Linked DNA regions of Lytechinus pictus. The protein of the gene in region 1 purifies or fractionates together with the protein of each later gene. This does not show direct contact. Links are inferred from orthologs where the notes say so. Each region holds a gene or a part of one and is shown on either strand. Other genes may lie near its edges.

Evidence for each region. Proteins that work in one complex are often made in the same cells at the same time.
Region 2: the proteins of intraflagellar transport protein 25 homolog (region 1) and intraflagellar transport protein 22 homolog purify together in Homo sapiens (affinity purification with mass spectrometry; 3 studies listed by BioGRID and IntAct, with this or other methods). This does not show direct contact. The link is inferred for Lytechinus pictus from reciprocal best matches to the Homo sapiens genes IFT25 and IFT22.

The regions. Positions count from the first base shown.
Region 1 is NC_087255.1:5,608,289-5,615,723, reverse strand, and holds the start of intraflagellar transport protein 25 homolog, read left to right. Parts: upstream 1-4,417; 5' UTR 4,418-4,619; coding exon 4,620-4,711; intron 4,712-7,435. UniProt on the Homo sapiens protein: Component of the IFT complex B required for sonic hedgehog/SHH signaling.
Region 2 is NC_087246.1:23,441,566-23,448,893, forward strand, and holds the start of intraflagellar transport protein 22 homolog, read left to right. Parts: upstream 1-4,326; 5' UTR 4,327-4,490; coding exon 4,491-4,526; intron 4,527-7,328. UniProt on the Homo sapiens protein: Small GTPase-like component of the intraflagellar transport (IFT) complex B.

The sequences.
Region 1 (7,435 bases):
CTGTATATTTCTTAAACATTGTAGGCCGGAGACCGGGGTGAACTGGGACGCGGGAGAAGTGGGACACCTCCTATATCTAGAAAAGTTTTCAACTAATCAGCTATCTGTTCTTATCCCCTGATAGACATTAGGTATTAGAGTAAAACCACATGGAAGCAACAGCGCAAGAACTCCCCTGCATGGTAAGTGTAATTTTAAATTTTATTTTTTCACACTTTTTTTGTAGTTTTTTGCAGTCAGTGTGAAGTACTTTTTGAATTTATTCTTATAGCTTTAGCAGACACTTAGCATGCTTTATCTAGGCCTTGTTAGTCCTAATAATTTGCATACTAAGTTTTTGCAAAAATGTGCAAATTTGAAAAGTTATCCGCCATTTAGATTTTTTGTGTTTGTTGGGATAAACTGGGACATGACTGTCCCACCTCTCCCTTTACTGTCCCACTTCTCCCAACTGTGTCCCACCTTACCCCATAGTCATACAATATGGTCCTCACACCAATGACATTCATATCACTTTAAATCAATATGGCATAATCATGTCGGTAGTAGTTCTTGAAGCTTGTGTTCATATAATTGTAGGCCTTGTATAAGTATGGCAAATTGATTCAAACACAATCTATTCAGGAACATGTAGTCTATCAATTAAATTAAAGCAGTAGGCCTACACTTTTACATCACCTTCATCAATACTCTGTTAGAGAACCTACTTGTCAAGTCATATGTTGTGGTACTGTCAACAGTTCATCCCATTTTTATACTTTTGCAGATAACATGCCAAGGAACTACAAACGAAAAACTCGCATGGGACTAACGTCCCATGCAGAAATGTTGGAGGCTGTTCAAGCAGTGGTGAGAGATGGGAAATCGATTCGAGATGCTGCCCAAGAAGCAGACGTAAAAAAGTCAACTCTCGGGAGATATGTTGCCAAGTTTCGCGCAAACCAAGATGCAAGACTAGCTCCTAAATATCAGCATTCCTTGGTGATCTCTCCAGAAAAACTAGAATGTTGAAAAAGTTGATCAAGTTTTGCACATATCTCAGTGTGAAGGATATTGCCCAAACTGTTATGGTTTAAGAATTTTTGTTTTACGTTGACAGGATTTTTACTGTAGCATGTGCAGATTAGGAATTTTCAGAAAATAGATGGGGAATATGTACCATATTTCATGAGTAAAAATACTCTACACAAAAGACTTTAAGGTATCGTGAAACAATATGAGCAACATTTGAAACATATCATCTGTTTTTTACGGTTGCAATATATGCTCAGTTTTAGACGGCTATTCCCATCTACACAATTTGTTGTTTCCCATATTGAATTAAGGAAACTTATGTTCGGTGTTTGTTATTTGCTTCCCCCATGCACAGTAGGTCTAATGTTTAGCGTTGACAGATTAGCTCAAAGCTTATGGCGGGATGGGCAAGTTGAATTAGATTTTAATAAATGTTCTAATTGTTGATGATAGAGTTACAGTTATAAAGTCTGACATTTTTTTCCTGAAACTACTTACACTAATTGTATGTGACAACATGTCCCCAGACCAATGAAAGGTATTAGCTTGTGGCCTTGTGCCACATCAGAGAATTATTGTAACTAATACTCTTGAAATATTTTAACTTCGTTTTTGAAAGGTACCCTAATTTTACATTTGAAAGAGCATCCAGTTTCAAAATCGCTTACAACAGTATAGCCTTACTTGTTACAAAATTTGAACTTCTAAAGGTTGATTATGATTTATTTCCCAAAATAATGACACCAAATTGGTGTGAAGTGTGGAAGGGAAGCATTCACCAACATACTTTTGGTGAAAACAAATTGCTTTGCTCAATTTAATGAACACCTGATCCTTCATTGTTAACTTAGACAAATATCTGCATATGAAGAAAGCAACAATCAACAATACCTGAAGGGCTGAAAATGCCAATACAGGGATATGTTGCCAACATTTGCATTTTCAGCCCTTCGGATATACTTTTATATCTTACTTGTAACTTGTACATGTAAGAGGATGTCACACAAATTTAAAGTACAAATATACATGTGTTTTTAAAAACAGCTGAAAAAAAATAAACCACAAATACATCTATTCATCCACAAGTTTTGATACTTATGAAGGAACAAAAAGGATGAACATCCCACAGCACTGTCAAGGAATGCCATAATTTTTATTGTATCAGTTTGAATTACAAATAATGTTGTTTTCAGCATTAAAAGTTAAAACCAGTTTACTTGAGGAGCATTTACATGTGTCTTGATCTAATGCATTATTTTCTCTGAGGTGTGTGCGTTGATCATGATTGATTTTTGATTGAGATTACAATGGCATTCATCAGCAATTAGGATTTTCTCATAAGTAATATGGTTTACATTGACTCTGATATAATAACTGGCTTTGGTGGATGGCTGATTCATGATTACGTCAAAGTAAGGGCATTGAATAACCTGACATTTATCGATAGTTACATTTTCTTTCGATATGTCTAAGATAACATATTAATAAAAGTATTCTGGGGGCATATCCATTTCATATCTGGTAAGTCATAAATACACATAAATACACACACACCCATTCACACTCACAGGCACGCACACATGAAAAGCACATATATATTCATAATATATATACATATATGCGCAATGTGATATTCTCAACCTTATTAGTAGGCCTATTTATTGTTTGTCTCACTTCTCCCTAGCCATCCCACTTTACCCCAGCCGATGTCCCAATTCTCCCAGAGGTGGCCCACTTCTCCCCGTTCAGAAGCTTTTTACTAATCAATGATTACACAAATATGAGACTTGCAGCAATATGAACCAACGTTCCATCATGTGGCCTAGCATCGGTTGTCTTAAGGTACAAAACACAAGTTCCCAATTCTGAATAAAAGAAAAGTTATAAGAGAAAATTCATCAACTTGTATTTTTTGTCCCACTTCACCCCGGTCTCCCCTATTGCTAAAAGTAATGATGGTAAATATAAATATTTTATGTGTAAATCAATTGTAAAAAGTCTATGGCTAGCTTTTTTGCAGTGACTCATGAATATGATACATATTTCACTAATCAAATAATGATTTAGGATGCAGGATGTGTATACCAAAAACAATTCGTGCTATGAGCTGATTACACTGACCTGTCAATGACTGTTTGCAGTGTCTCGTGATAGAAAAATCTCTCTTGACAACTGGCATACAGTGCTAAGCCCATTTCAGATTAAAGTAGGCCTACAAGAAATGTATCTCAAGGGATTTCAATATACAATTGTTACGAGCGCGAAGCGTGAGCTTATTTTTGTTTGCGACCTAAAACCGGGACATTCTAGTCAGCTACTGACGTTCGCATTGCGAAAAAAATATCTTGAAAATTTGCGAATAAAGATGGTGGAACTAAATGCCCTATTATTTCAGTCTAAATTGCGTACTGACAATGTGAAAGCAATTTACGGGAACTTTTAGCCCAGCGTGTCGTTGGGCGCGGGCGCTGTGGGTGGCTGCTGGGCTAGTGGTTTTGAATCTCGCGCCTTGCCTGCTTATTAGACCATACTGCCGCTGCGCGCGCATGCTCCTAACTTTAGGAATTTATCCCGAAGGGTATGTTTCGGGGCGATGTGAATGCAGGAATAATTAATGGGTATTTTTTAGCCTAAAAATGTTCTCGTAATTTAACGGGGATTCTTGTGATCGAGGCGGTTTGAAACCGCCTCTTTTTTCTCAACGGAAAACACGTACGTATATAAGACTCCGCATAACCTGCATCACACACAATGCATTACAAAGATAATGAAAGAAGTCGAGACGTTTGGAAAATATGCTGGGCCAAAAATCAATTGGACTAAATCAAATCTTATGAAAATGAATATAAACAACGGTGAAACTAACAATCTTTTTACTGAAGATCCTATAAAATGTCTTGGCAGACTTGGTGTCCTCCCCAAATAAAACTGAATTTTTTTTTCTATTTCCTTAAAAACGTCTTTTGGGACTATCATCAGGAAAGAAACATAGTTTAATTTTGAAAATGCATACACATTCAAAAGTTTTATTTTACCATAATATTGTAAGATCTCTTGCTTCCACCAACCAATAAGTCTTTTAATTTTACTCAAGATTTCCTTATAGTTCAAAATCATCTTTGACTTTAGAATCCCGTGCGAAATATACCCCTAAGATTTTAATATGTTGTAACCAATGTCCAAAAAGTGGTAAACTAGGTCTATCTCTTTCTTCTCCCAACCACAAAAAAGTTTGTTTTATTAATCTTCAATCCACTTAAATTTTTTTTACTCTATGGATCGAATCCATATCTTTTAGAAACAATGTAATGTCATCTGCATACAGAACTTCTTTTATTTCCCGTTTCCCAAATCCTATCCCTTTACTTTCATCATCTCTCCTGATATAATGAGCTAATAGTTCAATCGCTATGATAAATAAATGTGGAGAGAGTGGATCTCCCTGCCTTACTCCTCTATTAACTTCAAAATATCTCACTTCACTGCACTAAAAGTGAAGTGGAAGAACGCCATCTCGTGCTCAAACACCGTGGTTACGGGTGACGCATATTTTCTGGGATTAAATAAAAACACCTGATAAATTTCGGTAAATCATCACGGTCATCATGTTTGACGTAGCGCTAGCAGAAGCAGGGGCTCAAGTGCCTATTTCAACGTCAAGTGATGAAAATTTTCCTCCCGAGAATATAATTGATGGGTAAGATAGCCCTGATTGGGCTTGCACTATTCATTTTATTCTATACTTAGTCCCAGGTGTCCAATACCGTGTCAGTTTTACCCACTGAACTACAAGTTCAACTAAAAAAAAGAGTATTGCCGGACACCTTTAATTTTTTATTTCAGTGCTTTAAAAATGACAACTAGAGGAAATGCAATGAAGAAAATTTCGCACTTGCTGTGCCAAATATTATGAAAATTATGAATATGATGAAATTATTTAATATTTACCTAGGCCTACCATTTTCTTTGCATCGCACTTGCCGCAGGCCGCATTCGCATAGGCCTACCCCTCCACGGCCACGAAAAACAAATATTTTCGTGCGTGACAAATTACATCATGATTCCAGACGTGCGCCGGGCGGGTTAAGAATATATTCTTTGTTATAATGATGTAAAGAAGAATTGGTGTGATTTTGTTCTTAATATATCATATCATGAGTAAATTTGTTTGCTTTTTTTTATATCGAATCTGAGCAGATGTTGGAAATATAATTTGTGTTGCTAACTAATTTTATGTTTTCTTTTTAACTGCATATTCCAGGGCACTTTCCAATATTATGCTCGTTTGTATATCGTGATGCTCATCAAGTTCTATCGATGCGCTGCCGATCGTCGACTAAAATAAAGCTCTAGTCACGGTAAACCTTGCGCACGGGTACCTTGAGAACTAGCCGTCGACGATCACCCACAATACACCGCACCTCAACATTCGATCAAAGGAGCGGACGAGAAAGAAATTCGGCAAATCAGGCCTTATTTCTGTCAGAAAATATATCAATTGTTATTGCAAAACTATGTTATATGATATTTTAAGCATTTTCTGTCATTTTAGAGATAAATAAGGTAAACTAAAAGTTGGATTTTTTGCCTTGTTTTTGCAATCTTGTTCTATGTATTGCTCTGTGAAATTAAACTGCGGAAGTCTTACGGTACAAAATTGTTTTCGTACGTAGTAATATGCGCGTCCGGAATCATGATACTGTCCGGTAATACAATATGTGACTGTACAATAGTGGTTCTACCAAGTAACGTTTGACCTCTAACGCTACTACATGTTACGTTGGAGGGGTGGACATGGTGGAGGCACAAACAGGATGGGGGGGGGGTAGCCTGGAGGTAATTGGAGAGTAACTAAAACAAGTTGTAGTATATTGCTGTAGACTTATACAAGCTTAAATGGTAATGAATGCAATGCCTAACTGCCTAACATTAGCCCTAGCCTAGGGCCTAGCCACCAGCCTAGCCGCCATTGAATTCAAACAGTGCGCTAGTCGATGTCAACATAATATCAGGTTTCATAACAAGATTATTGCAAGTTGTGAAAAATAGACGGTGAACTGGGGGAAATTGAGGTCACTGAATCTATTTTTAGCACTCTCAAGCCTCGTAATTGCCGTCTCTATGTCCTGCAGTGGTATTAACCTGTCCCCATAAACAAGGATAGTCTCAATTCATCAAGACATGATTTGTCTTGGTTTATGATGATATCCTTATTTTCTGGGACAATCCCAATTTTTGGACCGGCGCCTCAGACTCTGAGGCACCAGTCCAAAAATTGGGATTGGGATGGGTTGAAAAAAATCTGGAAAAGGGGTGGGGGAAAAGAGGGAGAATTGTGACTGTGAGAAAATAAAAGAAAACATATTAAAAACAATTATTTATTACCCGTAGCAGTTGAAATAACAGCCCCCATCTAAAAAATAACTTGGCGCCATCCCTGATAAAATGCATCAGAGTGCAATCAAACGACCCCAAAAAATGTTAAATGTTGATATGTCACGCATTTTCTATCAATGCTGACGGTGGCGGGCGGTGTGCAAAGAAGATCATGCCTACGTAGGACATGTCTGGAGGTGTCTTTCCAAGGACCATTCTTCGTATCGCCCAAATCGGCTTTGTGAAACAGTTGAGTGATATCTCGTTCTACGTAGAACGGTTCTACCAAGACCATTTCCTGAAACAATCCCCAGGATTCCGTTCCAAGCTTGTGCTGTTACAGCAGTGCAGCATTAGAGACCTGGCCATGGGTAATTATTAGCCTTGAGGACTCCGTGATGATAATTATTTTTATATACTTTTTCATCAGGGAGCCTTGAAATGGTTGCCATATATGCATAAGCGAGACTTGTCAACAAGGATGGATTTCCCTAGGAAATCCATAATTAGAGGGTGAAATCAGTTTGTTTCTCTTGATTTTATTCATCTATGAACCTTCATACACCTAATGCGTACATGAAGGGATTAAAAATATTTTAGTATAAATACGAAAAAGGAGAGGTTTCTTACCAGACCGATCTTGTGTAGATCCCTCGATCCATTTGTAAACACCAAAAATACAATAGGCTTCACCCTTGAACCGCTTCGTTATGACGTAGCTTCGATAAGCGATGTTACAAAATGCCGTTTCAAAGAACAATTTATAGATGAAAATTATTATTTAACAAATAATAAAATTTGAAACTTGATTATAAATAACTATTATTAAATAAAATCAAGAGAAACAAACCGATTTCACCCTCTAATTATGGATTTCCTAGGGAAAGCCATCCTTGTTGACAAGTCTCGCTTATGCATATATGGCAACCATTTCAAGGCTCTGTGATGAAAAAGTGTATGTAAAAATATTTAAAAATATCATCATGGCTAGGTAATTATTGTTTTGTTACTGGGGTGCTGAGAATTGTCAGAGTACCCCAGTACA
Region 2 (7,328 bases), on another chromosome or scaffold:
GATTTTTTTTTTTGCTTTATTTTGTGATTAGTTGAATGCAAACGATATAATTGGTCAGGAAAGATACAAATTTATGAGAATCACAGTTTGAAGGTTATTTGTATGTTTGTCTAGCTTTCATAAACATTTAATGAGCAATGAAAATTTCGCAAAATTATCATAATTGATAATTTGGAGCGTTGTGGCCCAGTGGATTAGTCTTCAGACTTTGAAACAGAGGGTCGTGGGTTCGAATCCCAGCCATGGCGTAATTTCCTTCGGCAAGAAACTGATCCACAATGTGCTGCACTCAACCCAGGTGAGGTAAATGGGTACCGGTAGGAAGTAATTCCTTAAAAAGCTGTGTGCGCTATGAACGCCTAGCTTAGCCGGGTAATAATATAGGAGCGCCTTGAGCACCTAACAAGGTGGATATGTGCGCAATATAAATACCCTATATTATTATTATTATTATAATTATTTCCATCCGTTCATGTCTTTACTGTATATTGTTAATTCTGCCCCCATTGGCCAGCCATTGAGTCAGAGGGCTGGGGACAAAGTCCTCTGGATCATGGGATCACCACAGAGAGGAGCAAGCCGTATACCTCTTACGATTTTTTAAAAATAATTTAAGAAGGAAAAATGATAAAACTGAGATAAATTTTTAGTTAGAAAAAAGTGCAGAAATAGGACGATAGGATTAAAAGGGAATCGGATAGGAAGGAGGAAGATGAATCAAAATAGGGGGCGTGGCAGGGGTGCACATCATGTTTTTTTTTTTTTTATCAAACTCGTTGAACTGTACCCCTATTTTACATCTGCCAAAAAAATATGTCTAGGCTTATTATGTCGCCTAAATACCATGGCCTTTCCCAATATGACCATGGCTGTTGCTTAAAGGGATGATCCGGGCTGAAAATGTTTATATCTAAATAAATATAGTAAAATTCACAAAGCAAAATGCTGAAAATTTCATCAAAATCGGATAACAAAAATAATAACAAAGTTATTGAATTCTAAAGTTTATCAATATTTGTGAAAACAGTTATATGCACATCGACATGAATATTCATTAGGTGGGCTGATGATGTCACATCCCCACTTTCCTTTTTTCTGTTTTTATCACATGAACTCATAAATGTTTTTTTTTTTTTTTCATACATGTGTAAATGATGTGGATCAGTTATGATGAAATACACTGTATATTGCAGCAATAAATAACTAATGAACTAAATCAGTTGTAAATCCAATTGTTTTAGTTCTTGGTAGATAAATGTTGAATAAACCTGATTTCATGTAATAAAATACAAAAGAACAAATGGAGATATGACATCATCAGCTCACCTAATGAATTTTCAAAAAGACATGCCTAGAACTATGTTTCACCGGAATAATGCAAATCTTTAAAATTAAAAAAACTTCGTTATTTGTTATGCGATTTCGATCAAATTTTCAGCATTTTGCTTTTTGAATTTTAGTCTATTCATTTAGATATAATTATCTCCAGCCTGGACCATCCCTTTAAAATAATAGGCTATCTTCGCCCAAGGTTTTCAATCGGATGTGTTTACAACACTGCCCAAGGTTCTGACTCTGCAGTCTAAATTTCATGTCAATTTTCCAGGTCATTCAACATTTCGCCGGTCTAAACTGAACAATATCATCAAAACGCCATGAGAAGGGACGTTTTGAATACGGAGCGAGCGATGGAACCCGCAAAATGTTATTGATCGATTCAGGACATTGATATGAGGTTTACCATACAAATGTAATTTTCTTAAAGATGTGTTTATTATTTTCTCTCATAATCCAACACATGTTCATATACGAATCACCCAACAAAATCAAACAAATTATTTTTGCCACTGGCTTTACGCAAAACAAAATGAGTCATGCATTAAAAGGTAGCAAAGAATGCTGATGACTAAAAAAAACCTTCGTGCAGTGTCTTGATTGCCAGATATTTTGTCACGTACTCGATTTATTGTATATTTGCTTTGTTGATTTGGAAAAGTTGCAGAAATCATAAATGAAATTATGAAAATGAAATATTGCAGTCATCCAAAGCTGCCGTCCATGATAAATTATTTTCATTATATTGAAATTATCAACACTGCAACACCACATACTTTTTAAGCCCCCCCCCCCACAACACCACAAATCACAACAATAAACAAATAACCGTCTCCTCTTTTTTTTTTACTCTAGAATATTCCAAATGCGTTCTTATACAACTATTAAAGGGTTACAAGCATAACTTCGAATCCCCCAGCCTCCCATATTTAGATGGTCAATCTAATTTATGTTTGTTTCAGCTTCTTAATTAGATCTCCCTTTGGGTTCGAGGAACCACTTACTCCCCTATGCATGAGCATTTGGCAGGGATCAGAGCTAACAGAATCATTTTCTCTCTAACGGGTATTTGGAAGGAAAGCCAGTAAAATTACCCCCTAAATACATTATGTTTGTGGAAGACTTTAAACTTTCCTCGTTAACTTTTTATCTGTAAAGAAAAAAATCAAAGAGACCACCCTTTCAATGAATCTTTAGGATTTTCCCTTCGAAATAATGAGCGTGCGTGACGAGGTCCAGATTACTTAATAATATTATCAAAATGATATATAATCAATCAGTGGCGTACCTAGGATTTTCCAAAGGGGGTCAAATTTCGTTCGCCAAAAAAATTGACAAGCAAAAAAAAAAAAAAAGGTCTTTAAGTTCAAAGGAGGGGGCCACTTGTGGCTCGTCAGGGATCAGTTTTGACTCGTCAGGGGGGACAGGGATACGTCCTTTGCATGAGTTGTGACTCGTCAGGGGGGGGGGGCAGTCTGCCCCCTTAGGTATACGCTAGTGTAATCAATAGTTATTTCCGTTGTGTATTTTTATCATAAAATATACATCTACGGTATGTCTTTCACATACTTAGTACTGTTGTTAATTATGATCATGAAAAAAATATAAAGAGTAGAGCTTATCCATTGTTTCCCCAAATTAAATTTTACGTTAGGTAGGCCTACATGTATATCTGGCATAATTGAGCGAAATAAGGCCAGTGACGATATTCCCCCAATCAAATTTTACGTTAGGTAGGCCTATGTATATCTGACATAAAAATTATTGAGCGAAATAAGGCCAGTGACGATATTCGGCCCCCAATTCAATTTTACGTTAGGTAGGCCTACATGTATGTCTGGCATAATAAATTGAGCGAAATAAGGCCAGTGACGATATTAATATCTATTATATATCTTTAACACAAGTCAACCCTTTTGGCAATAAAAATTGTTATTTTCAGCATAATGAGATAGTAAATTAAGGACGTTCCACAGTTATGTTTGTGCGCATTATGATCTGCGCATAGTTTACACCATAGACAAATAAATACGGTTTACACTCTGCGCGCTGACGTCACAATGGATGAACAGGTGATTAATTAGCTGCGGGTATGTGCTGATTTTTCTCATCTTCTGCACTTTAACTGCAGATCCGATGCGTTATTTCATGAAGCTAAAAATTGGAATTATTCCATGGACCATTCAAAAAAAGATTCTCTACAATTTCAAAATACTTTACTCTGCAGTGCTGCCAAGAATCACGAATATTACCCCGAGTTTGAATAAATGGTAGAGTGGCTTTGATTTTTTCTTCACATAGATACTAAGCATTCGGCGCATTTTTGGTGTTTTAAAAAGCACATTTGCTCTAATAAAAATACTGATAGTTTAAAAACAAGCACATATGAACCCCTATTTTTTAATGTTTGTTCCTCTTAGGTAAACCGTCCTCTACAACTCTACAAATTTTGGTGAAAATGACATGGATTTTGAATAAAGTGCAGCATTTATTGTACTTTTGTAGTTTGTTACTGAAATTTCACATTTTTTAGATTGGGATTTTGTTATCTTTTACGCCATTTTTAAGAACTGACAGTGCTGTTAAACTTAAAATTGCAAACAAATAGCATTATAAATATATTCTCCATTCTAACGATACAATTATTAACTCTCTTGCGAAATTTGATGACTTTTTCATGTATTTTGACTGAGTAATAGAGGTTTAAACTCATTGTAGTAATCTTAGGGCGGTCTAAAAATGCCAAATTCTTTTGGATGCGCAATTCTTAAGAACATCAATTTGGGTGAACTTTGAAGTTCTATAGCAAAAAATCAAGCACATGGACCTATGTTAATTTTTGCATATTTCGAATATTAAGGTTCTAAAGTATCTATGTGCAAAGTTTGGTGAAAATGATATGGATTTCACTTTAACTGTACTGTGGAACGTCCTTAAACAAACTATTTTCAGCAGCCATCGAATCTGCATCTATCTTACAAGGACGCCCTCTACGTACAAATTACAGAGTAGCATTTTTCTGCAGCTATATAGCTAGCAGTCGACTTTATCAATTAATTTAAGTAATAATAGTTAGCGGTGCTCGTTGTTGTGAATTCCGGTACTAAGTAGCCGGACCATTAAGGAGCGCAGTCTGAATTACTTCTGGTATCAAGATGAAAGCAAAGATACTGATGATTGGGCCAACAGAGGTATGAATTGCTGGTTATTTGGCAGTCAGGCGCGTACGAGTACCGGCGCGGCGGTACCGGTACCATTAACGGAGCTGCGCACCCGCTCTGCAGGGTCAGCTCCGGGTACCGTCTCCGTAGCTACCGTTCATTTGCGGCCTCTTGCCTGAGGCTGAGAAGTGGGATGAAGAGGCAGTGACAATTCTTTATTCATGGAATTAGGCAGTGGGCGTAGGCTTTGTAGGTACTTTTTAGGCTTAGATATAGGCTAGGTTAGACAATGGTGATGTACCGGTACTTGCGCCAATAATGACATGATGTAGCTGGCAGCCGTCTGTTTCGAGGAGTTTCTTATTTTTAACATAGGCCCTATTAATTTTTTTTTAATTTCTCGTACACAGACGTCTCGCGATCGTGCAGCTGCCATTACTCATTAGGGGGTTAACAATGCAAAATCCTCCTGACGGGGCTCATTGATTTTTGTCTTTGTGGTCTTTATTTCATAAACAGAACGCCATGGGTTAATAATAATAAGGGCACAACTATAATGTAAAACTAAAAGAAATAAATAAACTAGACAACTTTGAGGTTACGTGTAACTGTCTTTAACCCTTTCCACGCGTACTTCGCACCAATGCACACTCAGTGCCGTGCGAACTTCGCATTTCACACTCAACAAACAATGCATTGTTTCCCTCCCTGAAAATAATTCAGTACAGATGCGCACAAAGAGTTAATAACCGTGGCCAAGAGACCAACACAAGGTGGTGCGCTTACAACTTAGCGCATGTAACATTGAATCATCATTATAATTGTAAAACAACATACTGGCGGAACTGTACCAAAATAAAGATTTTTATTCCTTTTTTGCCTGAAATGCACCAAAACGGGAAAATAAACTGAAAAGGAAAAAAACAGTGACTTTCATGCTTACATATATTTTTCTATAATGAATATTAACATACTTAAGGCACAGGAAATACTACCGGTATTTCTTTACATGATGAATGCGTAGCTTTACGACTCCTAATGTACATCAGGCGGCAGCTGCAGCAAAATAAAGATGTGTTTTGAAAACACAGCAGGACTTTTTGTAAGTGAGTTTGTGGTATTTTCTTCTTGCTTAAGGATCTTTAGAATATTTACCACAAATTAGTGACAGATCATTTGTTCAAATATTAAAATTGGCATAATTAGGTCCCCCATCATACATCCAATGTTGAAATTAAAAATATTGTCTTAAAGAAAAATAAAATATTGAGGAATGAAATATTCCTGTAGAATGAAGAATTATTTAATGAGACTAATTTAATTGACTAATATATACTGTCTTTGGAGCGTTGTGGCCCAGTGGATTAGTCTTCTGACTTTGAAACAGGGGGACGTTGGTTCAAATCCCAGCCATGGCGTAGTTTCCTTCAGCAAAAAATTTATCCACATTGTGCTGCACTCAACCCAGGTAAGTTGAATGGGTACCAGGCAGGACTAATTCCTTGAATGCACCGAGTGCTGAAAGGCAGCTCGCGCTAAAGCCGGGGAAATAATAATAAAAAATGCGCCTCGGAATAGATTATTTCTAGATAGATGGCACTATATAAATGCCTATTATTATTATGATGCAACATTGACATCGAACAAAAGTTGAGAGTGTAACGTGCAAGCGCCATTTGAATTCAATAAATGGACAAAATGTAACTCATCATACCTCAGCACACCTCATTGGCTTAGTGAGATGAGAGTGCTATAAAGCAGCATTTCTCATTGGATACTAGTATTTCTTCAAAAATTGTTGCATGTTTCCAAGATAAAATTAAGATTTATGGTTCTCAGAATACCAATTCAAGGGGATTTTAAGGATATTTTGTCTCACTGATTTTAACAGGAATAAAATATTTTATTTTTATTAAAGATAAAGTAGATCTCAGAAATGAGAATACCACACCTGGTCCTATCATGGGATCTGGATTGTGTAACATTTGTATTTGGCTCCAGTGTGTCTTGAAGATTGATGTTAAGGGAATAGATTTAGACTGGCAAATTAGAAACAATTATTTGCATGATAATCAGATATTGTAGTGGCAATATTTGCCTCCCCTGACAAAGTTATAAAAGTAAAAGGGTAAGATATAATGTGATAGAAATAATGAATTGGGAAATGGAGGGGGCAGGGAAATTGTAAGAGAAAACAAGGGAGAAAAAAAGATACCCCAAAAGAAGAGAAAAAGAACAGAAAAAAAATTGTGGAGTGATAAAAAGTCTTTGAAAAAGTCTCCTCCATCCAAAATATGAGAATGACAATTCAGAACTAAGCTCTGCTAGAAGGGAGAGCATGGCAATGGTAATCCGCCAATGTAATGCCTAAAGGCAAGGATGAGAAAAATAAAAGGAGGAAGAAAAGGGAAGAAGGGGAAGGGAAGAATTTCAATTAGCAAAATTTTAGGTCAATGTATCAAAATTAAATTTATGCTTGTGCTTTTAGCTTGCATTCCATTTTTTAATGAGTACTTTTCATGAGGGGATCACAGTGAATGTCTTGTTTTCAAGTATAAAAAGTATTTTAGCTCACGCTTTCATTAGTTTGCTATACTTGTATGCATCATGTTTATGATTACAAAATAGCGCGTGAAATGTCCCATATTCTGGTCCAAATTATGAAACTAAAATCAGCCAGATGTGCTTTATTCACATTATTTCTTCAATGTATGTAATCATGTGTACGATTTTCTATAAATAGTCTTAAACTCTCTCCAGGTTGGCCTATTTCTTTTGTGGCATGTAACATATTTTTCAAAAAGATCTTAAAATGTTTTGTTGTCAGAGTAG